4 linked regions of the Alligator mississippiensis genome follow. The protein of the gene in region 3 interacts with the protein of the main gene of each other region in a biochemical or structural test. Links are inferred from orthologs where the notes say so. Each region holds a gene or a part of one and is shown on either strand. Other genes may lie near its edges.

Region 1 (7,613 bases), on a different chromosome or scaffold from region 3:
AGCAGCCCTGATATGCCAGTACCCTGTTCATGCCATTGCCCCTCACTCCCCACCCACAGCCCCTCCCGCCCCCGTCACCCCAGCCCTGCTGGTGCCCCTCACTCCCCACCCACAAGCCCACCCCACCCCCAGCCCTGCCAGAGAGGCCCACAGCTGCCAAGGCTACGGTGCCAGGGACCCGAGTCCACAACCCCCTGCTTTCCCAGCAGTGCCTGAGCCCCAGCTGCTGCACCCCAAGCAGGAAGCAGAGCAGACCAGCTCCCCCTCTCCCACAGGCAGCATGGCTACAGTGGAACCTGTGGGGCACAGGGGGGGTGCGGAAGGTCTGGTGCACTCCCCCTGGGGCCTCCGCAGCCCAATTGACAGGACCTAGCACGGCAGACCAGAGCAGGTCTGGGCAAGGAGGTTCAGTGCCACTGCCAGGCGCCCCACACCACCATGGCAAGGCACTCCTTGCCCTCTGGCAGCAGCAGGGGGCACAACCCTGCACCTCCACACCTGCTGCTGAAACTTGGGTCTACTACAGTATGACTTGACACTTCCAAACTTATTTTGTGAGTGGTACTTTGTTTTCAAGTAGCAGGAAATGCCTTCCATTATCCCTCTTGAACTGAGAACACGGTTAAAAATGTGGTCTCCCATCAAAATAAACTGATGCTTAAGTCAGGTTTCTCTCTGATGCTTTGCTTCACTATAATGAAGATACAAAGCCCAGTTTGTATGAATACAGGAGAAAAAACTAACAAGGCAGTCCCTGTTTACTGCTCCAAGCCTCCTCTTAGTCGGCACTTAGCCCAAAAGCTTTATCTATAATCTTTTCTCGGGGCCACGTTCTCAGGGTGCTCAGACTGTCATGACTTTTGCTTGCTTTCTTTCTCACACCTCTCTAAAACAATAAGCAGTTAAAACCCACTGTCTATATGTTTTGTTGCTTTGGGCAGAGGCCACTACTGTTTCAGCTATCTACGTCTATAAAGAGAAGTGGCTCAGTCATGTTAGTCACAAGTCAGGCAGAAGATAGGGCAGTCTCTGCAGTGCCAGCCTGCCCTAGTTTCTGCATGTTTCTATACAGGAGGTCAGCCACTTTTTACACTGATCCCGATCCCAGATGGAAGATAGCTGTTATACCCACTAGGGCTACAAACAGACATCCCATTTGTCCCCAGAAAAAAACATTTTATCCCAGAACAAAGTTTACTCATTCAGACATTCATATCTGTTGTCCCAAGACAAATCCTGAAGAGGATCATGGGACAAAAAGTGCTGAAAGTTTGTTGCAGGACATCACAAAGTATGTCGGAACCTCCTGGACTACATCTGTCAATGGCAGAGAAGCAGCAGTGCTTTCAGCTGCTCATGAAACCCTGACTGAAAGAATGATGTGTGTGTGTGTGCATGCTGGTCCTAGGACTTTTATTATGTCAGAAACATGGTCACAATGTGTCCTAGGACTAATGCAACATCTGCTTCTAGCCGAAGTTCAACAAGGCTTAACATAATCATAACTCTTTAAAAATTGCAGAGGCAAGAATTCTTGTGGGTGATCTATTTTAATGGGCCAACTGTCCAGCTGGAATAGATGTAGGCATATCCCTCTGGCCTCTGGGAGGGAAGCAGACACAGCAGAGCTAAGCAGCAGACAGAACAAAAGCACGAGTAAAAAAAAAGATTGCTCAAGAGGGTTGTTATCACCAGTGAAGTGCAGAAGTTATCAAGTAGATTATAATGGGCCATGAAGTCACTATGTTAAATCCCTGGTGTACTTAGTGTCCAAACTTATTGAATTTAAGTTCTCAAGCTCATCTTATAAAAATGCTGGGCACATGGACTGCCATGCGATCTGCAGGACACAGATAAAGTTCCTCAAACAGACCAAGACCTATGATTTGAACGCTTCCATTAGATCTTCTTCTTATTATTATTTAAATTTTTCCATGTCCCAAGCCAAGTCAATTCCAAATCAGAGACAGTCCAGAACAATAAGTGGCCCTACTACCGGCAAACATCCTTGGCCCTCATCTGGGGCTTCAGATGTTCCCAAATCCTCTGGTGGGCATCCTACGTGCAGGCCCAAGCCCAGAGGCTTGCGGTTCGGATGCCCCTGAGTTTCGTTTGCCCTCAGCCATACAGCCGCAGAAGCAAGCAGGGAGGAATGCTTCCATTAGATCTGCTTGATGTTAAAGAAATAAAGAAAGACATCAAATCAAACCATCATCCAACTTATCCTCCCGGCTGGGGCCTATAGCAAAGACACCCACCCATCATGATGTTGTATTTGCCATTTCCTCCCTTTCCATGTATCCAGAGCACATCAACAGGTCTTCCACCCACTTCCCCCCACTCCTCTAAACAAGGGTGCATCCGGAGGCCTGGGCTGCTGGATGCTTTGCTTGGTACGGCAAGGCTTGTCATCGCTTCCCCAGCCATGCAACTTCTGCTGTGGCTGGCGCCAGGCTGCCTGAAGCTGCAGGCTTTGTTGAGAGCGGTTTTAGGAAGAGCTCAGGTTATGGATTTGTACAGGCCGGGCTGAGCAGGGACGACCCCGCCGTCCGCCCTCGGGTAGGGGTGGGACTAGGTGCCCGCTGGAGGAGCCCGCCAGCCCCACTTCTCCAGGACGCCGAGGACATTTCGGCACCTGAGAGGGCAGACACCCCTCAAGGCTGCTCCACACAAAGGCAAGGGTCTCCCCCTGCTCCCGCCTGGCAGTGAAGGCGCCCTCAGAGGACAGAGCGGAGCAGGGCGCTCCAGCCCCACCTCGCCCCGCCGGCCTCGACCAGGGAGGCCGCGCGGGAGCCGGCGGGGCCGGCGCTGCCCCGGCCGGGCACTCACCGAAGTCCAGGAACTGCTTCATGGAGAGGGGCGAGGGCGAGAAGCGGGCGTAGAAGTCCACCTGCTGCGGCAGCCCGGCCGGCGACACGCAGCGCCGCAGCGCCCGCAGCAGCCGCATGGCGGCCCCGCTCAGGCCGGGCCTACCGCCATCCTTCGGCCGGCCCAGCTGGCTCCGCCCCGCGCAGCGCAGCGCCGCCTCACGCCGGGAGGAGGCAGAGGCGGGGAAGGGGCGGGCGACGCGGGTTTGCCGCTGGCCCGGAGGCTGCGGGGGGTGGGGCGCGGCCCGGCGGGGGCGCTCTAGCTACGTGGCCGCTCCTCCTTGGGCGGCAAGGCAGGGGCGGCGCGCGGCAGGTGGCCGGGCCGGGCTTTAGCCCGCAGCGGGGAAGTGCTGCCCAGCTGCCAGCCTCACCCACAGCTGCCTGCCCTGCCTCTGGCAGCCCTCACCATCCTCCCTGTAACCACCCGTCTGCCGTTTGAAGACCGCTGTCCAGTCCCACCGCGCGCGGCCTTCCCCGTTCTTCCAGGCTTTCCCCACAGGTTGTTTCCTAGACCTGTTGCGGATTCATGCCTGGCCATCGCATGCATCTTCTTGGCTCTCTCCCCATTCACGAAGCGGTTTGTGGTGTGAGGCGGCGGTACGTGTCCTAGGGCAATGGTGCTCAACCGGCAGCCTCTGTGCCAAATGCAGACGGTGGAGCCTTGGGATCTGGCCTGTGGGGCTCCCAAAGGTCAGGAAACTTGGTGCCAGGGACCAGTGGCAGTGAATTCTGCCACCCCACCCGGCTGCCAAAACCCCAAACCCATGCAGAGGTTCAGAGCCAGGCCGTGAACCTGCGTAGCAGGCCATGCACCCCCCTCCCCCATGGAGCTGGATTAGGGCTGGGTCATGCCCCCTCCAACCATGGGGCCAAGTTAGAACTGGGCCAAGTCCCCTTTCCCTTCCCCCATGCAGAGGCTGCCCCCCATCCACATGGCTTCAGGAGTCCCTGCTGCACCTGTCCCAGTGCCGCATTGGGTCCACCAGCCAAGTTTGGGCGTGGACCAGGCACTGCCTAATAGTCCAGCTGGGCAAAAAGGTTGAGCATCAGTGTCCTAGGATTACTGCTTAGTGCATGACTTCTTGTGGCACTTGCTCCTTGTGGTGGGGTCAACCCTGCCATGTGGGTCTTGCTGTCAAAAATTGGCTTTGCTGTGTGTCTGGCTAGCGTGGAGATGTGACAAGAGTTCCCATTTCTAAGTTGTAGACCACATTTGCTAAAAGTAAGCCAGGGTCCACTAACTGACGTGACAATGCTTAGGAGACCATGCCTGCTGAAATGCATAACTCTTGCTGCCTGTTGACCCCATTCTCCTCAGCACACTGTTGGGTTGCCTGAGACCTTCTTTCACAGATGTGAAGCTATTGTAGCATTTTGATTCTACCTGGATGTGGTGGAATCTATTATTCTTGGCAATCCTGCCTCTCCTTTTTCCCTCTCCTCCCACTTCCAGTGAAAAAAAAAAAATTTACAAGAAACCTCTACCACCTTTTTCTCATCTCTATCTTCTATGGTTTATATACAGACTGTCATAGAAAATGGCATATATTCATCCTACTAAGTCCTGGGAGGGGAGAAAGGGAGCTCCTTAGCAGCTAACTGGCTGACTAGCCACAGCTGGAGATAAGAGGCTGCAGCTCAGGTGGAAAGGGGTAGCTGCTAGAGAGGTTGAGAACTGCTCTGAGGGCAAACTAGCACCAACTTTCTAAATAACCAGACTACAAAACTCCCCAAAACTGAAGAGAGAGTGGGATTGCTGGCAAGGCTTCAGGCAAGAAGCCCTTGGGGGTGTAGGTGTTTGAAAGAGAAGGGAGCAGGAGAGTTGCCTTGTGCTGTCCATCTCAGCAGAGGGCTAAGATAAATCTCAAAACCTTCTAAGGCCATGCAATGAGGTCTGTGAGCCAACTGTGGAGATGGGGGTGTTTTTTAATTCTGTACTTAAAAACAATCAAATAAAAAGATACATTACTGTAAGAAAAACCCTATTCTTTTGGATGGCCTGGAAAGAACAGTGCTGAAGGTGGCATGAGTCATGAGCAATGTGCTCTGGAGCCTCCTCTGTCCATACAAACTCGCAACATCCAAAAGCATGGGAACAAATATTTTTGTCTGGAAACTTAGCATGTCTGGGGGTCTGAGTATCTTTCTCCATGCCGTTGTTCTGTTTTTAACAGTTTACCTATTAATAACATACTTCATATTGCTGTGGTCCTGCTCAGCTTTTGACATTTTTTTTTTTAAACATATTCTGTTCTGAGTGAAAGTACTCTAAAACTAAACCAGCCTTTTATTAAGAGAATTGATTTCAGAGATGCTGCAGCTAGCTATGGGCTCACAGACTGAATTCTTAAGAGCTGCCTTTATTGTACTCCACTGCAAGTTTCACTCATACGGCTTCAAAGAGGGTGAAACATTGAGACCCTTATTCTTTCCTGCATTCCTCTACACCTTTCTAACCAAACACATCTGTAAAGTTAAGTTTGTAGTCATTATCTTATCATAAGCATTTATGATAATGCCCTCCACTTGCAAGCTATCTATTCCAATCTTTTTGTCTCATTTACTTGATATTGCAAAAGCAGGCACAATAGATAATACAGACTTCTAATAGCAATATTTATATTTTTAATTTGGAATTAACCTTTAACATTTTTGTTTAATTTTGTTTGGAATTAAAACTGTTAACATTTTGAGGTGTTTTCCTCTGGGCTTGTGGGGGCTGTTCTTTCTTGTCTTTGTATTGTAGAAAGAAACCCTTCATCAGACCTTGCTGATGTTAGAGCAAGTCTGAGCCCATCTTATGATGCCGGTCTGGTGCTTGGTTATGCAGCTGGAATCGTGTTTCTAAGTCTATTGACACCATTGGTTACAGAGATCTTTCATGGTGCATCTTGATCAAGTTTTGATCAGACTAGCTTTTAGGGGAGTACAAAGTGAGCCCTATTCGATTCAGATTCGGCTTGAATCGGGGACAGCGATTCAATTCATTGATTCAGATCACTTTCCCCGATTCGATTCGGCCGAATCCGAATATGAAGATTCGATGCTGAGTCAGAGAATCACCGATTCAGACAGACAGCTTTAAAAGTTTTTTCTATGTACCTTCAGGTAGCAGGCGCAGCTTTTGATCACTGTGATGCTGGGGTGCATGGAGCGTCCCACAGGAGTGCAGGGTGCCCTCCACTTGCTCGGCAGCAAACCCAGAAGTGGACCGAAAGACCCCCCTCCCACCCAGACCCAGGAGGCACCAGTTACCGAGCCGGAGGGCACCAGCCCCCCCCCCATGCACTCTCCAGCGGACCCAGAAGCGGACAGGGAGTGCTTCTGGTCCAGTTCCCCAGTGTGCTCAGCCGCAGAGCCGGAACTCCCCACGCTTCTGTGGAACACTCCACACGCCCCAGCATCGCAGCACTTACAAGCCCCTACTACCTAGAAGTAGGCAGAAACAATATTCAAAGCTGTATCTATGTCCAGATCTCCAAATCGATTCAGAGGGTTCAAATTCGATTCAGAGAAATTAAAGGGTCCTCCGATTCTACTCTGATTCGGAGATTCAGCCACCAAATCGGGCCAAATTGAATCAGTGACCGACACTTCACACAGCCCTACTAGCTATGAGCATTAGGCCCTTCCTCCCCTTCACTCCTCCTGCCTACCCTGCTTCCTTCCTGTTCCTGATGCACCTTGCCACTTTGCTTCCCTGCCAGAGTGCACCCTGCACTACACATTAACCAGTAATTCATTACCAGTATAAATATCATTTAAACATTTAACCTTTCACATCCCTAGCTGAAAGCATAAGGTTAAACTAGTGTTCAGAGCATTTAGGAGAGGGGGTACAAGATTATATTAAAGTAGGAGTGCCAGAGGCACTGTCATGGAGCACATGGTTAAGACTATGGTGTTGCTTGGTAGAGGGCCCTCAGTTGGAGTTATTCATGGATGGATCTAGGATTTTGAAAACTTGGGGGTGCGGATGGTATGGCATATCATCACATAACACAACACATGGTTGTCTCTTATTAAAGAACTGGATGTTTTACTAATATGCAAGGGGGCTAGCATATATACTATTCAGTTGAAGATCAAAGCAAAACAAGTAACTATTAGAATCTAGTAAATGAGTGCACATTCTATGTAAAATTTGAAAAAACACAACAAACTTGGCAAAAAATAGCCCAAAGATATATCATGTCATTAGTCCTGTACTCACCACAGTTAAATGTAGTTTTCTTATTCAGAGTCATAAACCAAAATTAACCTTCTTGAGTGGCTTGGCAGTGCCTCCAATACTTCACTGCGAGTCATTTCTACACCTAAGTTAATATTGCCGCATCTGAGTTAAGGTTTTGAGTTAGAGTTTGGGTGGAGCAGGAATCAGAGGGCTACCACTGCACCCCACTTGGATCTGCTTCTGGAGCTATGGTTAAGACTCTAACCAGCTAGTATTACCAAGATGGGAGCCAACATTGCAGCAAGCAGAAGCAGCCTGACTACTTTGAGTTTGGGCTAGAAGTAGGACCTATTTCTAGCACTACTACAAAGCTAGTTTATACCTTCCTCCTTCTCCACATCTGTGCCTAGCTTGGGGCCCCAAGCCTTACCTTGGCCCAGGATCCCACGTCAATCCCAAAGTTAAACTGCCAATACTATCAGCCCCAAGTCTAAGCCCTAGGACAGGACCCCTTGCAAACCCAGTTTGGAGGCTCCTGCCAATCCCACGCCTAAATTTAGCCTGGGATCATC
Region 2 (7,210 bases), on a different chromosome or scaffold from region 3:
ATTTGAATACACAATACAGTATAAATCAAAGTTGAAGCAGGACATGATGTTAACACCCACATACTTAAAAGTATAATGCAGTGTTTAACAAGCACAAAAGGGCAGCTGCAAGTCCAGCTTAAGGACTGTTGCACCTGGAATTGTCAACCGTTGTGGGGAGCAAGAGATGGGAAAGGGAGGGGATGAGACCAGCTTCAGCTGGGACCATCCCTTCTCCAAGTCTGCATTTGAACTTTATATAGAGCTGCTTCATCCCCAACTATTTGGCCTCTGGGAAAGAACCTGCAGCAAAGAGCCAAACACAGAGAGACAGAGCTGCTGCAGAAGCATGTTCAACGGAGACCCAGGATAACCTATTCCTCTTCTCTCTCACTTATGCTACTACTTAGGACCCTCCCTTAGCCTCACTTGACATCTACCTCTTACGTCCTTCTCTTTCTCTCTCTCTACTTCTCTCCCTTCCAGCTACTACTCACCCCATCCAAAAATATTATCACACTAATGTGATGTTTGCCACCATTTTAGCATCTATTCTATTTGAACATTATCTCCATTTTTGCTACCCACTGTCCACCTTGTCCATTGTAATCTCTAAGGCAGAGGCAATAAGACCCCAATCTCCATCAGACCCCAGACATTCACATGACGCACAGGAGTAAAAAATAAGTCAGCTAAACACCACAAAGAAATCAGTGTATGAGAAAGGACATTTGGAGAAGATTATTACGAAGAAGGACACCACAAATGGATTATCTGAGCACCAAAGAAATTAGGAAACAAAAGGTCTTTTTACTTTTATCTACATCAGAATGGCCTACAGTACGTTTTGTAAGATTATAATATTCATTCAGCAATTTTTGCTTTTTTTTTTTTTTTTTAATTCCTCAGATGGTTGTGGATTGGGAGAGACAGCCACTGCTCACCCACAGGAAAGGGCAGCATGCCTACAAGACCTCAGGAAGTCTACAGATCACAGAAGGGGCTATCAGTACATCAGGTTCATATTTTCCCTTCCAAGGCATCCTGACCTTTGATGGCTTAACATTTAACCAGAAAAGTTGAGATACCAGAAATCACATCCCAGAGGTTTCCTGCTAACTGCGATGTTACCCAATACAAGCTAGAGAAACATCAGTGTAATACCTGGTACTATGCTTAGTGGATTCAGCCAAGAGAATATGATCTGCCCCGACAAGTGAAAGTGCTTGAGAATCTAACAGTTCATTTTCCACCTTTTAAACACTCAGCTCGTATTACTCTGGGAAGAATACACTGTCCATATTCCCTGGACCATACTGGAAAGAGAGTAAAGCCTTCCACGCACCTATCAGCCACTGGATAACTTCACAAAACAGAAAGCCTGCGTTTATTGCGCACTCTGCCCACACCAGAAACCCAGGGACCTGGAGAGCTCCATTTCAAGGACCTTACTAATTTAGGACCTTACTAATTTAAATTCCTTCCTAACAAAAGCGCTGCTTTCGTAGGCACTGTTTAAAACCATGGTTCACGACCTTTTTTGTACCAGGACCCATCTGTACACATGGATGGGCAAATAATTAGACGTGCACTGAGACAGACTTACCAGCTGCACGCAGCTCTCCAAGCACATCGGAAAGCGGATCGGTACGAGCCGATACGCCTCCTTAAAAATCAGCTATCGGTATCAGCTCCCAAAATCTCTATCAGTGCACCACTATAAATCATGTAAGTAGAAAGCAGCCCCCTGGCCTTGCACCGCGGTGCCCTCCACCCAGTGTGGGAGGCAGGGGGTGGGTGGGAGACAGGGGTGTGCGTGTGGGGGAAGAGGGTGGGTGTGTGTTGGGGGCAGGAGTGTGCATGTGGGGGGGCAGGGTGTGTGGGGGGCAGGGGCGTGCATGTGGGGGGGCAGGGGGAGGGTGTGTGGGGGGGCAGGGGGAGGGTGTGTGGGAAGCAGGGGTATGGGGGACAGGGGTGTGCATGTGGGGGGGCAGGGGGTGGGTGTGGGTAGGGAGCAGGGGTATGGGGGGCTCAGGGGTGTGCATGTGGGGGGGCAGGGGGTGGGTGTGTGGGGGGGCAGGGGGAGGGTGTGTGGGAAGCAGGGGTATTGGGGGGCAGGGCTGTGCATGTGGGGGGGCAGGAGGTGGGTGTGGGTAGGGAGCAGGGGTATGGGGGGCTCAGGGGTGTGCATGTGGGGGGGCAGGGGGTGGGGGGGCAAGGGTGTGTGTGTGGGGAGCAGGGGTATTGGGGGGCAGGGCTGTGCATGTGGGGGGCAGGGGTGAGTGTGGGGGGGGCAGAAGGTGCCCAGGCAGCCCCTCGCCGGGCTGCGCGGGAACACCCCCGTTTCCCCCGTAAGGAAGAAGCCACGTGCAGCCGTGTGCTCGCACCCCTCTGCTGCGTCGCTGCGGCCCCGGGGGCAGAGGCGCCCGCGCTCAGCGCGCCGGCTGTCAGCACCCGTGTTTCGTGGCTGCGGCGCAGAGACGCTCCCACGGGTGCCGGCACGCGGGCGAGGCGAGGCGAGACGGGCCGAGACACCCCTGCGCCCTCTCCCACCTGCCCCAGCCCCTCATTACCCTGTCCTTCATCCTCCAGCTCTGCGCCAGGGACTTGGAGCCCTCGATCTTCTCGCAGTGCCGCTTCTTCATGAAGGCCAGGGGCAAGTTCCAGTCCGTCAGGTCGGACTCGTCCTCCTCGCCCAGCCCCAGCAGAGGCGACTGCAGCATCTCGGGCTCCATCGGGGGCCACGAGCCGGGCCCTTCCTCCACCGTGGGGCGGGCAGGCCGGGGGGGTGGGGATGCTCCCGGAGGGGCGCTGAGGCCTGGTCGGGCCCCGGCTCCGAGCGGGGCCTCCCGCCGCCGCCTCTAGCCCCGCGGGGCCCGCGCGCTGCCGGCCAGCTGCCGGGCTCGGCCCATGGCGGCCCCAGCCCCCTGCTGCGACGCGACACGCGGGGGGAGTTGTCCTGCGGCGCCGGGCGGCGAAACTCCCCTCAGCAGCACGACACGGGGGCGGCCATCTTGGGAAGGCCCGGCATGCAGCGCGGCTACGGGCCGGCGCGCGGGACACGCCGCGTTCGGGCCAGGCAGGGAGGAGAGGACCGCAGTTGCCATGGCGACCGGAGCATCCTTCCCCTCCACCGCCCTTCTAGCAGCCCAGGGCTCAACAGCACCAGCGGGCTCGGCCGGGCCGGCGGGGACACAAGTTTCGAGATAGACAAACTTTTCTTATATACATAAACTTATCTCTTTTATACATATACACATCTAGATAGATAGATAGATATGTGTGTGTGTGTATATATACTTTCTGGCATGTGTAGATAGATAGATAGATAGATAGATAGATAGATAGATAGATAGATAGATAGATAGATACACACACATATGTATGTGTATATATATATATGAAAGAGCTAAGTTTTTATATATAAAACTTTCTTATATATATAAAAACTTATCTTTCTTTATATATATATATAAAAGAAAGCTAAGTTTTTCACATTCCTGAAGCGTAGACTTTAAGAACAACACCAAAAAGCCTGAGAGTTGGCAACACTGGAGCCATTGCAATAGGCCTTCAAATACAGACTTCCCCCCGCTTGAAGCCCGCTATGCGTCCCCAGCCAGCAGTGCTTCGACACGAGCGCCCCATTTGAGAACCGGGCACAGCGCTGTCTCATGCGGCAGGAAGAGAAGAAAGGTGCTGGGGCTGGTGGCGCAGTCGCTGTTCTGCTTTTTACACAGCCTCAGTTTCCCCAAGTCAGCCTTCCCCACGAGTCAGTGTTTTTATGCCAGCCTCTGAAGGCAGTCGAGAGCGAGCAGCTGTCCCCCCGGGAGGCTACGATGATCTGGTGTAATTTGGAGGGAGTAATAGCCGTGCACATCTCTGGTGCTGCTTGCGTGAAGACAGCTTTCCTGACCCGCCAGCCGTCGAGTCTGTTCATGGACTCCGCACCTCCCACGAAGCTCAAAGGCTGCAGCAGGACTGAGTGGCCTCTGGCAGAGGGGTACATTTTATCCATGTAATAAAGCGAGTACAGTCCTTTATAATGGTGGGTTTAAATGCAAATGTCATGCAGCAGCTACTAGTCTAGCCAACGCTTTAAAGAGGGGACTCTCCCTTGGATGGCTCATTGGCCTGGCTGGCGAGGATAAACTCACAATATTTGTTATCGTCAGTCATCATTTGACTGGCAGGAGCGACCGGCTTGGGAAACCAGTCAGGAACCAGACATCCTCTGTGCCAGGCACTGTACAGATACAGAAGAAAAAGACAGTCCCAGCCCCACTGAAGTTACAGCTCTAGAAACCAGGACCAGTAGATATAGGTGAACAAGAAAAGGTGAACAAGACTCAATAAAACACACACACACACACACACACACACACACACACACAGACTGAAATAATTTTTAAACAGCTTTTAATCAGTATCCATTTGTTATGTTTCTACTCAAACATGTTCACTTTCTTTCTTACCAATGTTGTCCTTTTTTGTTTGAAAACACCGGGGATTTTCCCTTCCTCATTTTGGCTAGACACAAAGCATGTCATGGCTGCTGCATTCATTTTGTTCTAAATTGTTTACTTCTAATGCACAATCCCTCATCTACCAAATCATCTTTGAGCACCAAGGTCTTTGATGTCAGCACAGCTTTGAGAAGAGTATTAGTGTGACCAGCTACGTCTGGCTGAGGAGCTTAATTCCACACTGTTCAGGAAAGAGAAAGCAGCAATACTAGGGATCCTATTGCTATGTGTAAAGGCCCTATCCACCACTCATGTGAATAGGTACAGCTCCTTCCATGGATGTTGCACTGATTTACACTATTTGGGCCCATGTGTCTGAAACACAATGCTAACAGGAATGAATCCTTGTTTTTTGAATTGTGTCAGGAAAACACACGGCACATGCTCGTGGGGTGGGCAGTGGAGCCTGGAGCCAAGGACCAGTAGCACTTCAAGTTCTCTGACACGGAATTTGCTTTATATTTAGTCAAGGGGAAATGATCAGTTTCTCAGATACAAACGGTATTTTGGAGGTGTGTAGCTGGGATTCATCATGGCAATGCTTATTCCCATGGGACAAAGTATTCTCCAAATGCAGAGTCCAGAAGGATTCCCACCACAAGACTGGATTTTTGTGATGAAACCAGAAGGTCCCTGCAATTGTAGAAATGAGGGACTTTTTAAAGCATTGCTTTTTTATAAGCTGTGCATCAAAAAGAGCGGGTTTGCTCCCTAAACGCACTCCTTTGAGCGGGAGCAAGGTGCATTTTGAAGTGTAGTTTAGATTTACAACACTCAGATTTAAGCTCATGCATTAATATTGCTCCTGAGATGGTTGACTGGGTTGGAATACATTCATATGATCCAGGCTTCTGCAATGCACAATGCAAAAAATAACATAATGAAACAGCTGAACGCGCAAAAGAAGGCAAGCCTACGATCGTGTCTTGGGCTGTGGAAGGAAAGAGTAAGACCTTGAGGTCTCCTTTGTTCTCAGGACGGGTGTGAGGGAAAGAAACAGAAACTACAGAAATTCTAATAAATCTGCCAAACTGATAAACCGGCTGTCAGCTCACAGGGCCTTTAAGTCACTCCTGGTCATTGTCCCGCCAAGATGCATTTTCAGTCTGAGCCTCTTTGGCAGCAGCTGTTTGATGCAATGCCCTCCTCATTCCTCCCGTGATATTGCTTCCTTGGAACACAGAGTACACAGGCTCGATGATTGCCATGGGGGCCCTGGGAGCAAACACAAAGGCAGCACATGATTTACTTGAGTCTTGCCTAGGCACTAATCCCACAGCAGACCAAACCTTCCTGACCAGCTGCCCTCCCACCAGATATTCCTGATGATCTTTACCTTAAAGCGAGTTTTAAAAGTTAAACCCATAATTTCAAGTCACTGGCCTTAACTAGTTTCACACCAGCATCCCCCTGTCAGGCCCCATTCTCCTTTGCCCTACACCACTGCAGCAAGAATGCACACGACATGAATCTGATCTGACAGCATTTTGCACCTGTTACGTTCACTTTGCACCAATGCAAATGATTGCACAAAGTGCAGGGGAACGGAGCCAGTGGCCCACTGACTTCAGCAGAGTTCCTCATGATTTACACCAGTAAATATGAGAGGAAAACCAGGTGGAGAGTTTCAAAACTGTTCCTTCATCATCAGCTTGACTATACTCAAAACTCAGAATAAAGAATGGGGCTATTCAGCCCTGATTATCGGAGTGTTTTCCCCGGGTGGCAATTCAATCAAAGCGCACCCAGGTTTACATCTGAGTTGTATCCATCTGCATAATTTGATATATGAAGCCATATGCACTTTGCCTACAATTCCAAGTGCATTTGCAGTCATCAAATACAATTTTTAAAAGATGAAACATCATCTTGCCCTCAACTGGCTGGAACAAAAACATTCCCTAAAAAACCTAGGTCCCTGGGGTATTTAAAGGGGGAGATTTATTGCTTTGATTAATTGGCTTTCTGAGTTCATTCATTTGTTTATGACTATTTAATGCTGGTTTGTGGTCATGATGCAATTGAAAGACTAATTAATTGTCAGGGCACGATGAAACGTTATGTTTGCATTTTTATTGTCATTTAAATCAGAACCCAGTGCGGCCAGATTACCTTCCGTCATAATACAATTGCAGGCAGTAGGGTAACCGTCTCAAGACGGTACCTGAAAAATCACAACTAGAGCACCCAGCACAACTAATCCACCTCAGGCAAAAAGCCTGAATGAACAGATGGGCTGCGCACTGTGCCCTGAAGGTTAATAATCCGAAATCCTGACAGCCTGCTCGGGGAGCATATCCCAAAGTCAATGACTCTGCGGAGAGCTCTTGTCATCTGCTCCCATTCGTGCAGGGAAAGCTGGCCTCCAAAGAGCACAACTGCCAGAGGGGCAGGGAGCGTGCAGGGAGGCCCCTCTGGCACCTCTGCCACACCAGGATCTTAAAAGAAATGATGGTTTACCAGGATCCACATACTTTTCTCTGCAGCCTGAGCAGCTTGTGCATGGCAGGGGCTCCATGGACCCCTCCTTTCTCAAGCCCTCGGTGCGTCACCCTCACAACGCCCTCCTCTTCAGGGACTCACTACAGCCCTCCAACTGTCCCCGCATGCCAGGGACCCTTCCCGTCTCCCGTCCATGCCAGTGTCCCCCTCCTCCCCAACCAGCCAGGGAATGCCTCCCTTCTCCTCCCCATTTCCCCACCATT
Region 3 (7,330 bases):
ACTCCTGTCGACTGTAACTGCTCTCATTCTATGAACAGATGCATTCATTTTCCAAGTCTTATTTTTACTTGCATCAAATTCACTTTTTAAAATAGATTTTTAAAAAAATCACACTGTTCATCCTGGAAGCTAGTCTGTAAATACATCATGCATCTTCCCTTCTCTTGTCATCTCATACAGACAAGAGTTTGAGAACCAATTGTGTCCCCCCTGGGTGGCTACTCTTTGGAAACTATTTCTTACATGCAAACTCTCCAGTCAAAAGGTCTCACGTTTCACTTCTGAGGATTGTCATGTCCGTATGCAACACCTGTAACTGCAGCTGTTCTTGCTGCTGCTGCCAGTACAGCTTTCAGGAGTAAAAATGCTCTATGTACAGGACTGTCTAGTTCACACTAGCTTTCTACCCAGCTCATTTCCAGGTTGGCGATTTTAAGTTTTCAGTTCTATGCATCTTTCTGTTCCCCCAAACCACACATTATGCTAACTGGAGGCAACTTTCAGTAAGATGCTACATTCACGCTCTTCTAGTGCTTGCTCCCTTTACTCCCCAGTGCATTCTCCACTTCAGAATTCGAGGAAAAATACAAAACCATTGTCACTCAGCTCCTGTTCTGCTCTTCTTTCCTTGCTGATTATTTTCAGCATTACCCAAACAGTGAGTGCGGGTATGTGTCATGAACTTGGGAGTCCCACAGAACTCTTAGTTTGTCCATCCTGTCTGAGAGCTGTTTGGGCCCTCACCACTACTGCCAACTGTGCGCTGCAAATATTCCTCCTGCACAAGCGATAGACTACAATCACAGCAGTCTACCAACTACTGTTTAATCCACTGAAGTTAATTCTTGCAGATTCTAGGGCAGGAATTTGTTCCCTCTCATGGCTCATCAAAATCTGTTTTGGTAACCCTCGGGGTGTGATGCAAGGGACATTTTTGCCAGGCATTTTATTGACTACTGATGTACAAGCCCAGGGTTTCTTCCCACAGACTGCAAGTTATGTTGCCTTCAGTGGACAAGCAAAATTGTGTCTTTTCTTAAAATCTCTTTAGAGCAAGGGTGTTCAACCCCTAGCCTGCAGAGCCATGCCATCTGGCCCACAGGGGTTCCCAGGGGTCCAAAACTTTGCCAGTGGGAGTGCAGTGGCACCAACTGTCACTCCCCTTCTGCCAATTTCCAGACCCCTGGAGAGCTTCATGCACTGCACAGCACACTGGATCAGTGCACAGAGGTGGCCTAGGGCCTGATCTGGGCACACTGGGGCCTGATGGAGGCGGTGTGGGGCTTCAATCTGGGGCTAAGCAGAGGCAGTGTGGAGCCTGATCTGGCTCATGGATGGGCCCCTTGCCACTCATCTGGCTCGTGGCCCCAAAAGATTGAGCACCACTGCGTTACAGCAACCAGAGGCAGTGATGGCCTCCAAATAATCCAAATGAATACTAGTAAGAAAAAGGTTTTACATCACACTGAAGACAGAAGATTGAGCTCAGCTTCCCGCAGGCTAAATACTAGGAGCTCAGAAAAAAAAGGCACTTTCACTAGTATATTGAAGAGACTGTACCCTTGGTTACTCTTCTGTACCTACTATTCCCTAGATTTGGAGGAGACTGGAAGCTCAGGGAAGACTGACTTCCCATGTGTAAACTTTCGACATGCGCAAGGAAATGTTTATTTCCTACATCAGACTGTTACAACAGTCTATTAACTAACTAACTAAATAAAAAAAATCAATCAATCAAATCTTCGAGCCAGAGTAAAATAGGTGCTTTATTCAACTTGACGGCACACAGCGGCAAAAAGATCATTATTGCTAAACAGCCAGACAGCCAGTAAGGACAGTAGGTCCTGCTACGTTATCAAGGCAGCAACCAAGTTTGGCACCTTGTAACTAGCAAGAAAAGCTTTAAAAAAAAATAAAAAAAAAATTAAAATGTATGCATATATTTAGCACATATGACGCCATTTGTCACAAAACCACACGGAGCGAGGGCGCAAAGAGTAAAACAGACTGAAGTTACATCCCTAGCTCCAAACCAGTCTGGGGGCACTGTCATGCGTAGTTACGTCTGCAAGTTTGTAGGTAGCCTCCCACCCCACGTGTTACAAACACGGGGGATGTTTGAAGACATCCGAATAGCACCTAGAAAAACCGACGAGGAGGGCACAGTTCCCTAACCCTCTCGTCGCCCCCCACCCCGCTTCTTTACATTTAGTTTTCCTAATTTCTACCTATTTTCACCCTCACGGACATCCTGTCGCACTTTTAGCCTCTCGCATCCCTTAGAGATCTGAGAAGAGCGGAGACTCCTGAAGAAGGGCGACTGCACCCAAAAGCTTGCAAACAACTCCCCCTCTCCCCACCCCCGACGACTCAACTGTCAACGACTGGGTCCAATGAACGGCACGCCGACTACTGCTACTCGGTGTAATAAAAGACAGCAGTGAAAGGTAACGATAATAATAATATTAGTATAACGATAACGATAATAAAGTCTAATCAAAGATATCGCATCTGCCCACAGCACTTCCACAAGTTTAAGCCTCCCCCGGCTCTGAGGTGTCCCCAAAACGGATCCCCTAGGCTGCTACCGCTGCATGGGACACCGCTCCGCATCATTTGGGCTCAAAACTTTAAAAAACCCAAAACAAAACACCCTCCTCCCCCCCCCAAAAAACATCCCGAGGTAAGGGCAGAGGGGGGAGGGTGATAATGCCAGGAGGATGCGAGGGCTGAGGTGCAGCAAGGTGTCGGCCCACCCCCCGCCATGGCCGCTCCCGTCCGGCCCGGCCCCGCGCCTCACCCCCTCCTCCAGCTCCTCGTCCGAGCCCGCGTCCTCGGGCTGGTCCAGGTCGATGTCGAACACGCCCGCCATGGCCGGGCCGCCGCCGCCGCCGCCGCCCCTCCCTGGCTGTGCTGAGTGCGCGGGGCCTGCTCCGCCTCATGGGCCCACGCCCCTCAGCGCCGCCGCCGCCATCGCCGGCTCCAGGCCTCAGCGCGGCTGCGCCCCCACCCCGAGCACGCGGCCCGCGCAGGCGCCCCACGCCGCCCGGACCCCGCAAGGCGCATGCGCCGAGCGCGCCCTGGCGCCGGGGGAGCCCCTGAGCATGCGCGCATTCCACCGGGTGCTGGCACAGAGCAGGCGCAGAGCGTTCCGTGAAGCCGCCACACGGGGCCGACCTGCCCTCAATCCCCTACCCCCTCCGGCCCAACGTGCGCTCTCTCGGAGCATGCGCAGAGCGGGGTGTTCAAAGGGACTTCAGGGCCTCCGGCGGTGGGCTGGAGTGTGTGAGGGGAGTCCGCGCATGCGCCCTGGGGGGGGCTCCTGTAGCAGTTGTGCTTCGAGGGTAGGTGCTGAGGGGATGGGGGGAGGGGTCATGGGGGGCCGAGGGGTTTGGAGGGGGGCCCTGCTCTGAGAGATTATGGGGTCCTGGGGGGCAGAGGAATGGGGCAGGTGCGGGGGAGGGGCTCTGAGGTGATGAGGGGTGCCAGCAGCCCTGTGCCTGGGGGTGATGGCGGGTGCCCAAGGGAGTCGAGCAGTGCAAGCCTGGGGCCTGGCGGCTCCGTGGGAAAGGACCTGGGGGTGACCGCGGACAGTATGCTGATTACGAGCCGAGCGCACGTTGTCCAGACGGCGAAGGGGGCTCGTCGTGAGCAGATCGAGGGACGTCGTGTATGCCCCTGTATTCGGCGCTGAGGAGGCCACGGCCAGAGTCCTGCGTCCGGTTTTGTGACCCCCCCCCAACCCCCCGCTACAGGAAGGATGTGGACAAGTTGGAGAGGGTCCAGTGAAAACGGTTGGGGGACTGGAGCACGTGACGTACGAAGAGAGGCCGAGGGAAATGGGCTGACTGAGTCTGCAGAAGAGAAGACCGAGGGGGACTGAAATCCCTGCCGGGCGCCGCACAGAGGAGGGAGCTGGGCTGTGCTGGGGGGGGGGCAGATGCCAGAACAAGGAGCAACGGGCTCACGTTGCAGCAAGGGAGGTTTAGGTTGGATATTAGGGAAAACTCTCCCCCTAGGCAGGGGGTGCAGCGCCGGGACAGGTTACCCAGAGGCGGCGGCCTCCCCGTTCTTGGAACCGCGATACAGGCCGGGTCTAGAGCCCGCTGGGTTACTGCTTGTACTTTTCGGTCGTGCTTTTTGTAATTCACTAAAGCAAAAGCCAGAGAGCAGAAAGAATTTTTCTTTATTCTCCACGTTAATTATTAGAGTCGACTGCAACCTTATCAAATGATATGTAGCAATATAAATGCTAATCCAGCTGGCTTCCTAGGAATTGTCATCCATGCTCCTGAGCAGCTGCTGTTCACGACAAAGTGCTGACTGCCAAAGTTTCCCTATAAGCAATTTGTTTTCAGTGCTCCTTAACTGGAGGCTGTCAACGCTGTGCAGCATTCCCTTCAGTCCTCTTTCCCATTGCAGAGAGTAATTCTGTTCCAAAGCTAAATGGGCAAAATCTGACTTTGTTTTAAGCCATATCTTAGCAGATTTAAGAGGAGGTAGAGATTAAAGAGACCAAACTGATCATGCCCTGCTCTACCTCACCCCTTACATGCTCAGCAAGAGAATATAATCATTCCTCTGCACCCTTGATAAAAGTATACACTGTTATATACCTGTATTGATACCTTGAGTAAGTATTAACTTAATATTTAGAAATGGGGAGACAATGAATCGTCCACGGGCAGTTGATTTAACAGTGATGAATGCTGAATGTGTGCATAATGATGCTTATTCTTTTGCCTTCTGTCAGTTTAGCTCTTTGTCATTGTTGTGCCTGTATTGCACATAAATTCTCAGTTATTTGAGGCTGGATCCTGGGATGTTTTAGATCTTTCAGAAGCAGGAGCCCGTTAACAGCTGTAGAGACAGGATTACTGGTGAAGTGATCACCAGGCAGGTCACATCAGGCATGTTTCAGCCCTGCTATTGAAAACAAAATGGAGAAAAAGATCTTGCTTCCCACAGTGGGGAATGTCAGGACTTAGCATCCACAATTAAACTTTTATTTCTAGAATTTCCTACTGTTGCTACCATCAATACAGTCCCATCAGGGGGAACATTATAATACAGCCTAGTTGGCAGCATTTTACATCTCATTTCATTTACTAGATTAGGTAACCCACTAGTTTACAATGCTTGTATCTACGTTAGTGCTTTTACAATTGTTAGCAACAACATAGCTGAACCAGTGGCCACAACAGTAGGAAACTCTGGAAAACCAGTCTGAAAACAGCATTGCAGGCAAATAATTTCCAAACTATCAGTCTGTTCTTCATGGGTCAGCAGAGATTTGCACATGTAACAAGTCAGGGTGGCGCTGTAGCATTAGTCAGTGTAGTTCACCAGGGGTGAACTTAGCCATTAAGTTCCAGTTAAGTTTAAAAAAAAAAAAAAAAAAAGCAGTCCAAGGTCCACCTGAGCCTAATTGCTACTAGCATAGTTAAGGCACGCCAAGTGCTGTAGCCATCAGTAAACATCTGGCCACCTTTCAAATCCTCACCCTGATGACTAAGTATCCATTTATAGCTGGGTCAACTGGGAGCAGTCTTTGGCACAAGCCCAGAGTAAGGATCAAACTCATCTCTCTCGAGCCATAGTGAGACACCTTAGCCACTCTGTCAGCACAGCCTGGGAAGATGGAGAGGCTCTTTGAAATGAGACTGCCTTCAGTACCACATAAAACTCAGGGAGGCTGATTTTGTTGGCTTGACTAGCAGTTGGTGGGAACAAAGTTTCCTGCCCAATCCTCACTGAAACACATCACTATCCCTGTGGGGATGGAACGTGATTGTTGACTGCAGCCTTCTCCAAGGAATTTCAGCTACTGGATCAACACAGTTACACAATTTAAGTAGTTTGGGAAAACCTCTAAACATAGGGTGAATTATATCTGAAAAATCAGTCTGTTCTCTACCCAGGTTACCGAACTGCTCAACAGCTGCCTACTCATGACTTGTTTTAGCCATAGCAAATAAAAGCATACCTCTCTTTTTTTTAGGATTAAATCCAAAGTGAAGAATGTCAGTAGTCACAGTGCAGCTTGGTCAGTGTGGTAATCAGATTGGCCATGAGGTGTTCAATGCTATCTGCAGCGATTTCCACAGTACACATGGGCTGTGCTCCAAGAAGGAGAATGAATCCTATCAGGAAGCTTGTAAAGAACGTTTTTTCAGTGAGGAGAAAACTGGAGGTACAGTATTTAAGAGGTTTTTCCCTCTCAGTGCTAATTGCCTTTGTGCTCATTAATACTTTGAATGTCATCCAAGCATGTATTATATAGAGACTTGTGAATTTACCAGCCCGACATACAAGCTCCTGTGAATTAGCTGTGTCGTCACCACCATTTTACAAATGGAAAGCAGAGACGGAGAGATTAAGTGACTTGACCAGGGTCACCGATCAAGTCATTGGCAAAGCTGAAAACAGAATCCAACTCTTCTAAACCCTAAGCTTTAACCTCAAGCCCACCCTTTCCCATGTGGGAACATGCCTACTGCAGTATTCTGTTCTACTTGCTTAGTGCATTTGATTGCCCTGTATGTCCATGAGCACTAACACAGATGTTTCTCACCCAGACAAACTTTTTCTTTCCAGACTTCAGTTATTTCACAGGTAAGTAGATCCAAACCTGCAGTTAGGGTATGAAACCTTCCCGTATTTAATGCCAGCTGACAGCAAAGATTTCCTTACTAAAATGATTTTCATTCCATGTAGAATTAGCAGAGCTTTTGGATGGATGAAAGCTCCTTTTAAAATATGAAACATCAAATGTTACCTTATTCAGATGTACTGTTTCATTGAAGTTAATGTTTCGCTGAAGTTAATGGTGCAACTTCCATGAGTAAGATGGGGGGTGATTTGATTTAGGCCTTGCTAGGTTCCTGTGCACATGAGATGTTTTTTTTTTCTTGTTACAAGATTTAGGCATGATAGTTTCTCTTGTTTTTCTCCCCCCCACTTTCTCCAGTACCTGTTGCCCGGGCTGTACTTATTGACATGGAACCTAAAGTAATCAGTCAGACCTTATCAATGGCTGCTAGATCCGGCTGCTGGAAGTATGACCATCAGTCACATTTCTGTCAGAAACAAGGGTCTGGAAACAACTGGGCAAATGGGTATGAATAATCTGAAGCTCTGTTAATACAGTACATGAATGATAAAGTAACTGAGTTCATAGCCATTCTGTTGTAGAAACAGTATGATTGCAACTATGAAATAATGCACTGTATATCTAACAGGAGCTGGAGTTATTGCTATTGTAGACAGATGATGGTATTTTTGCAAGTAAAGATACACTACTGGTATGAATGGTGAAAAGTAATCAGGA
Region 4 (6,947 bases), on a different chromosome or scaffold from region 3:
ACAGGTCAGTCTGATCACCTGCTCTGTTGAGAACAGTCTGATTGCTAGGATAGACTAAATCAAAGGGCTGGCAACAAGTTGCAAAAAGCACAATAAAACTTCGGTGTATGCGACCCGTTCCTTTTCTACTGGTTGATCCCAAGGCCAGAATATTTTTAATCATGACTGAGAGGAGCCAACACCTAACCGCCTTAGCTTAGGCCAGATCTTGTGTGCTGACACAGAGAAGAAAGCTATTTAAAGTGGAAGGAACTCCTTCCTTACTCTGTACCACTGGGGCTTCTGCATCTCTTTTGGCTCCCGCTGGGTGGTGAGGATGAGGCAGGCACGTAAGGCAGAGACAGCTCCCTCTCGGATGGCCTGTTTGGGGTCCCATACAGCCACAAAGATATTATCAAAGAATGGCTGCACTTGCTGGAAAAAGAAGGTAGGCACGCTGATGGCCAGTTCACGCAGGACGAGAACCTGGAGACAGGAAGGAAAATGGTGGTGTCAGGGAGAGGTGGGAATTTAGAAGAAAACTTCCACATGCTTGATTTGTCTTGCCTAGTTATACTGTAAGCTTTGGGAAGCATGCTGCTGGGTTTCTACAGTGCCTGGCACAGGAGCATCTGAGTCTCGGTTCCTAAGCACTACCAGAACAAATACCATTAACAGCAGACCAACTAGCCCATCCTGTAGCTCTTCAGAAATGGAAGAATAGCCATTCCACTCCCCAGCTAGGACTTCCCTCCAACCCTCTCCCCACTCATTGCATCCTTCCTCGCACAGTTCTCATCACTGCTACTCATGAGCCTGTTCCCAGGAAGGCTGAGAAGCCAGAAGAGCACTTACTGCCGCATGCCTTCGACCTTCATTCCTATCAGCTCCCAGCCACTCCAGAGCCCGTTTCACTTCAAACTCCACATATTCTGCTGTGAAGGTGTCTCCCGTCATGGCAAGGCGCCCGATAGCCTTGGACGCCATCTCCATGACAACAGGGTCATTGGAGGGGAGCAGGTTCCGAAGGTAGTTGGCAAACCTGCCGATGCGGGTGGCATTGCCTCCCTCAACACCAATAAGACTTGCTGGGGAGAAAGAGAGCATGGGTTAAGTCCTGCCAGTGGGTTAGTGTGGCAAACAGTAGCAAAATCCCTGGAAGAGAGTTCTTTCTAGGCAGCCTGGAGAGATTCCTGCTAACGCTTCCTAAACTGCAAATCCACCAGAAACATTAAGCAGCAGGAAAGGTCAGCATTCTTCCCAAGCTTGGATCTGTTATGTAAAACAGAGAAATGCATCAAAAAGGTTCCATAAGTCAGATTTTCCTTGTATTACTTTATAAAGATCCACCCTGGGAACACAGATCCATTCCAACACACCTCCATCTATATACGGCTACAATGGACCCAGGACTGAATGGAGGAGACTGTACTCTTTCAAGAGGTGGTCTCTCAAGGCCTGGCTTAAGGAACATTGGCAGGGGCAGCGTGGCAGCAGAGAGGAGCCATCAGTATCCAGGGTTGTCAAGCTGGCACCTTCCACCAGTACTAAGGTCACAGAAGTAACTTTAAAGTAATGCTGTCTGCCTAAAGTGAGATGTCATTGACAAAGATCACTCCACCTCAACGACCTCCATCATCTCTAAGCACACCGGGGTTGGTTTGGTTATGATGCTTAACTCAATCCAGAAGCTTTATGGAGTTATTAAAAAGCAAATGGTGCAGAAATGAGGGATCCATTTGGAAGGGACTGTTTTCACACGAGTTATCTATCTGTATCATGGGCTCCCAACCCCCGGGCTGCGAAGGGTTGGTTGCTGGTCCGCAGGAGGGTTGGCTGCCAGACTGGAAGTCCCGAAGTGACCGGCATACTGTGGACCGGCAACCAACCCGTTTTTATACCGAGGATAAGAAAGGGTTGGCTGCTGGCCCGCAGTACGCCGATCACTGCTGGTCTGTGGCTTACCGGTCCACAGCATAAAAAGGTCAGGAACCCCTGATCTGTATCCCCAGGAGTTGCAAAGTTTAGGCTGCTCTGCCACACAAGAACAAAAGCTCAACAGGGCAATAATCAGGGGAGATGCTACCGGGAATAAATGCAAAAGCTCCTTGGAGGTGGGCCCTGCTGCCACCGAGCGAAGGGTTTTAACGGGTACGATTATTGCTCTCAGGCCACAGGGAGCGCAGACTATTTGCACACCATGCTCACTTAACGCAGCTGAGCATCGCGGCCCGTATTTTCGTAACAACGCAGGACCACGTTCTCAAGCGCTCAGCGTGGAGACACCAGGTCTTCAGCTTGTTTGCGTCACGGGGAAGTGGAGAGCGAATCTCCCAGAGACACCGAATCCCTGCGCTCACCTATCGCCAGGATGCCCCCCTTCTTCTCGTTGGTGTCGGAGCTGGAGACCAGCTCAAATATGTGGTGATTCAGCTGGTCATAGAAGCGGGTCGACTCCTCCTGGCTCATCTGCGCAGGAAAGAGAGTTCAGGCCCAGGCGGAGCCGCCCCCGGGCAGCAACGATGCCGGGGCCTCCCAGGATCCAAACAGGCGGCGGCTTCTTCTCCCTGCCCCTCCCCTGCCCCGCCCGCCCGCCCGCCACCCCCGTCCCGGGCCTCCCAGACCCCGCGAGCCGCCACACCTCGCGCAGCTCCATGGTGACATAGTGCTGCAAGTCCTTGGCCGCTTTGGCCCGCGTCTCCTCGCTGCGGCTCTTCAGGCCGTTGGCGAACTGCTGAAGGATGGACACGGTGCCCGACATGGCGGCGGGGGCGGCTCAGGGCGTCCCGCGCAGCGGGGCCTTGGGACACAAAACCGCGGCGTTGGCACCGGCGGGGACGGGCTCCCGCACAGACCCGGGCCCGGAGCCTTGCAGCGCCAGCCGCCGGCATGACAGGGCCCCGCGCCGCGGGGCGTCGCCAGGTGACCGCGGAGGGGGAGGAGGGCACTCACCGCCTCCTCGCCGGCTCCCTCGCTCGGGCCCCGGCTCCACCCGCCGGGCCGGCGAGCAGCACCCACCCAATCAGCGCCCAGGCAGATCGGAGTGGCAGCCACCGCCGCCAATGGAGTGGGGAGGAAGGCGGGGTTCCTAGGGGAGCGCAGCCCCGCCCCCCAAGCCGGCTAGCTGGGCTGACCAATCCGGGAGCAAAAAAAAAAAAAAAAAAAAAAAAAGCGGTCCGATTGACACGGGGCTCCGCCAGTGGCGAGCCGGAAGCAGCGTGATTGGCTAGAATGCCGCACTCCCACCCCTACCGGGGAAGGTGGCCAGGCGGAAGCAGGAAGCCGCCGGGGGACGCCAGGGCGGGACACCCGTCCCTCTGCTTCCGGGTGCGTTGCTGAAAGTGTCCCCCCGCCTGCGGCCGACCAAGGGCGCCGTTACCGTAATGACCCGTGCTGCGCGCGGCGGGTTTCGCGCCCCGTGAGGCTGAGCCCCATGCGGCCTCCCGCCGCACCGCCCCGCCGGGGCCCCCTGCCGGCCCCCCCCTCTGCCGCCGCCGCGGAGCCCGCTGAGGGGATCAGCATCGGCGGCGGCGCGGAGCTGAGCGAGGCGGGCGCGGAGCGGGGCCCGCCGGGCGGCTGGAGGCAGAAGTGCGCCGCCTACGTGCTGGCGCTGCGGCCCTGGAGCTTCAGCGCCTCGCTGACGCCCGTGGCGCTGGGCAGCGCCCTGGCCTACCGTGCCCAGGCCGCCCTGGACCCCGCGCGCCTGGTGGGCAGCGCCGGCGCCGTGCTGGCCGTGCACGGGGCCGGCAACCTGGTGAACACCTACTATGACTTCTCCAAGGGCATCGACCACAAGAAGAGCGACGACCGCACGCTGGTGGACCATCTCCTGGAGCCGCGCGACGTGGTGCGCTTCGGCGTCGTCCTCTACACGCTGGGCTGCGTCTGCGCCGCCGGCCTCTACTTCTTGTCCCCGCTGCGGCTGGAGCACCTGGCCCTCATCTACTTCGGCGGGCTCTCCAGCTCCTTCCTCTACACCGGCGGTAAGGACTGGGGATTGCGGGTGCCGGCCTGGGACCAGCAGGAGTCCTGATGGCTGCTCGCGGCGTTCGCCGGCTCGGGGGGGGGGTCTGACGGCCTCTCCTCCATGTCTGCTGCTGTCCTAAAGCCACGGCCTCTGCCGTCTTGTACACGTGGGTGGGTTGGGACTTTTGAACGGGGATGCAGGTTCATGATGCGTGGGTCGGAAGGGACCTTGGTAGGTCAGAGTCCGACCCCCTGCCCTGGGCAGGAAAGAGCGCTGCTGTCAGACGACCCCGGCAAGGTGCTTGTCCGGTCTCCTCTTGAAGACCCCCAGGGTAGGGGAGAGCACCACCTCCCTGGGAACCCCATTCCAGATTGGGCTGGTGGTGCACGTGTAATGTCACGCGTGTCTTTCTCCTGTTCGTGATGAGCTAGGAGCTTTCTTCATAGGCTGTGGGGGCCTGGGGCTGGGTTGTTCGGTTTAAGGCGGAAGCAAAAACAAATATAATTCCATTGCAGTGAGTTAAAAACAGTCCGCAGGGCTGCGGAATAGGAGCTTCGGGACCAGGAGCAGCAAACGGGCAGCAGCATGGCAGGATGAAGGCTAGCTCCAGTAGTGGCACATCAAGACTATAAAAAAGAGAGGGTGGTTAACACTGTGCAATGAGGACTTTAGTAGGGATCGGGGTAGATTATAATGAGCTATGAAGTTATTTGTCTCCCTAGAAATGCTGCAGCCACTGCCAGGCAGTTAGTTGGTTTTAAACTTCGGGTGGAGCAGGAAGCAACAGGCACCAGAGCACCCCACCCCCTCCAGATCTGCCCCAGATTACACTTCACAAACAAATTACTATGCGCTGAAACTTTAAGGAAGTGAATGTGATATTTGAGTGCTTACTAGAAGTGCACCGATACATCGGTCCCATATCGGATTGGCACTGATATAAGGAAAATTGACAGTATTGGCAATTGGCTTTTTTTGGCTGATGTGGCCAATAATGCCACCGATTAAATGCCCTGTGCACGCACACAGCTGCAGCGCAGCACGCAGGCAGCCCAGAGCTCAGTCCAGCAGCGTGGAGAGCAGCCGGGTCTGGCTGGTAAGTCTGTTGTGGGGGAGAGGGGGCAGATCGAGGCCCCTACAGTGAGGGAGGGAGTGGGGTAGGGGCTGCACAGCTGGGGTGGAGTGGAGCCGTGAGCAGCCCATCCAGGTGGGGGGGGCAGGTCCTGCTGCTGCGTGCACTCTGGGAGGGCATGGGGGCATGTGCCCCCAGATTTGTGCACAGTGAGTAGGCAGGCTGCCACTATGGGCTGGGGCTGGGGCAGCCTTGAGGGGCTGGGCTGGGCTGCACTCGGGGCAGACCGCGGCGACGCTGGGAGCGGTGCCTGGGGGGCGGGCTACAGTGAATTTTGTGGTGGCTGCAGCCCCACCCCAGAGCCCCCTCCCAGTGCCACCACTGCCCACTCTGAATGCGGCCTGGCCCAGACCCCAAGGCTGCCTTGGCCCCAGCCCATAGTGGCAGCCTGCCCACTCCCTGTGTGCAGATCCAGGAGCACACGCCCCCCTGTGCCATCCTGGGGTGCTCGCCTGCTCTGCCTCAGCTGTGCAGCACCTGCCCCAGCCCCACTCCCTCCCTCATTGTGGGGGCCTCAATCTGCCCCCCATACCCCTTTGCTCCCCCCTTGCCTCTTCCCCCACAACAGACTTACCAGCCAGGTGCTGCTCTCCATGCTGCCTGGCTGCATATGAGAATCGGATCAGTATTGGCCGATATGGCCTGTTAAAAATTGGTCATCGGTATCAGCCTAAAAATTCTCTTTTGGTACCTCCCTAGTGGTTACTCTGGAGAGTGGCTCTGAAGAAGGGCTGTTGTGCCTCCCTATGGCTTCTGACCCCTTTTCACCACAAACCTGGGGCATGAACGGTGGCTGATGTGGCAGAAGGCCACCTCCTGTTTCTACCCAAAACCTCTGCTCTGTGACAATTTGGTTAGGATGGGCCCAGCAGAGGATATACACCTTACCCTATCTCTTTAGGTAACCTGAGATGGATACATTCCTGAGGGAGGGGTGGAAACCTGCTCCCTCTGCCTACGTGACTGGCACCACATACCTGGGTGAGGGCCTGGGCATCCTGGTGAGCTAGAGCCTGCCAGTCTGCCCAGCAACTAGTGATGCATTTCACATTAGTTGGCTGACAGGCAACAGGTGCTGGCCTCCATTGGACCAGGTAAATGAGGTCACAAGGGCTATATAAGTTAAGGACTGCCTAGGAGGAAGGGCAGCAGCCATGAGGAAAACTCGGAGAGAGAGAGGAGCTGGACCATCTAAAACTTGCTCGCTCGTTCTCTCTCTCTCAAAACTCATGATCAAGGAACTGCCTGCCTCCAGAGGGAATCTCCACCTGCCTCTGGATGATACTTGTAAGCTACCTGAGATCTAACTAGATGTATAGCTTGCAGTAACTCGGATGCGAGATCAAAGGCTACCCCGGCCACAGGAGTTTGCTCTATGGGATTTCTCTGATACTACTCAACTCTGTGCCCTATTCCAACCCTACCCCTTGTAACCAATAAAGTTCTCCTTTGTACCTAGTGTGGGACACTTATTGGGAGTGGGTCTGGATTATGCTGTGGGGTCCCCTTGGTTCGGCTGACTAAGGGAGACCACTACTTGTGCTTCTGACTGAGGGAAGCACCCCAAGCTCTTGAAGTGAGTCAAGTACCCTCGCGGGCTACTAGGCCTGTGTTTCCCAGAGTGCGCAGAGCCTGAATCGAGCCCATCCCTGGGTGGTGGCAGTTCTACCCCCAGGCTAGCGGGTATGCTCCAGGAAGGGGGTCGGCCAGACGTGAGACACCCTCAGGGAGGCACCCAGAGCCTGGAAGGTGGTTGGGTGCAGTGAGGTGGGTGGCTCGGCGCAGGAGCACCCCCTACTGGCCTGCCACAGCTGAAATGTATACTTCCAGTTCTTGTGATCTCTGTTCTCTTCTCCACGGGTAGAGCCT

The links.
Region 1: the proteins of RPS6KB1 (region 3) and PDK1 form a complex in vitro, tested with the Homo sapiens proteins (2 studies listed by BioGRID and IntAct, with this or other methods). The link is inferred for Alligator mississippiensis from reciprocal best matches to the Homo sapiens genes RPS6KB1 and PDK1.
Region 2: of the proteins of RPS6KB1 (region 3) and RPTOR, one has a biochemical effect on the other in vitro, tested with the Homo sapiens proteins (6 studies listed by BioGRID and IntAct, with this or other methods). The link is inferred for Alligator mississippiensis from reciprocal best matches to the Homo sapiens genes RPS6KB1 and RPTOR.
Region 4: of the proteins of RPS6KB1 (region 3) and MTOR, one has a biochemical effect on the other in vitro, tested with the Homo sapiens proteins (18 studies listed by BioGRID and IntAct, with this or other methods). The link is inferred for Alligator mississippiensis from reciprocal best matches to the Homo sapiens genes RPS6KB1 and MTOR.

What each region holds. Positions count from the first base shown.
Region 1 is NC_081827.1:211,866,170-211,873,782, forward strand, and holds the start of PDK1 (pyruvate dehydrogenase (acetyl-transferring) kinase isozyme 1, mitochondrial), read right to left. Parts: upstream 3,003-7,613; 5' UTR 2,948-3,002; coding exon 2,830-2,947; intron 1-2,829. UniProt on the Homo sapiens protein: Kinase that plays a key role in regulation of glucose and fatty acid metabolism and homeostasis via phosphorylation of the pyruvate dehydrogenase subunits PDHA1 and PDHA2.
Region 2 is NC_081831.1:1,247,589-1,254,798, reverse strand, and holds the start of RPTOR (regulatory-associated protein of mTOR), read right to left. Parts: upstream 3,004-7,210; 5' UTR 2,715-3,003; coding exon 2,553-2,714; intron 1-2,552. UniProt on the Homo sapiens protein: Component of the mechanistic target of rapamycin complex 1 (mTORC1), an evolutionarily conserved central nutrient sensor that stimulates anabolic reactions and macromolecule biosynthesis to promote cellular biomass generation and growth.
Region 3 is NC_081837.1:3,662,779-3,670,108, reverse strand, and holds the start of RPS6KB1 (ribosomal protein S6 kinase beta-1), read right to left. Parts: upstream 3,001-7,330; 5' UTR 2,873-3,000; coding exon 2,801-2,872; intron 1-2,800. Other genes in the region: TUBD1 (tubulin delta chain), read left to right, coding at 6,022-6,193, 6,971-7,118. UniProt on the Homo sapiens protein: Serine/threonine-protein kinase that acts downstream of mTOR signaling in response to growth factors and nutrients to promote cell proliferation, cell growth and cell cycle progression.
Region 4 is NC_081836.1:12,052,128-12,059,074, forward strand, and holds the start of MTOR (serine/threonine-protein kinase mTOR), read right to left. Parts: upstream 3,009-6,947; 5' UTR 2,932-3,008; intron 2,903-2,931; exon of another isoform or gene 2,780-2,902; 5' UTR 2,741-2,779; coding exon 2,621-2,740; intron 2,449-2,620; coding exon 2,340-2,448; intron 1,068-2,339; coding exon 835-1,067; intron 466-834; coding exon 265-465; intron 1-264. Other genes in the region: UBIAD1 (ubiA prenyltransferase domain-containing protein 1), read left to right, coding at 3,413-3,962. UniProt on the Homo sapiens protein: Serine/threonine protein kinase which is a central regulator of cellular metabolism, growth and survival in response to hormones, growth factors, nutrients, energy and stress signals.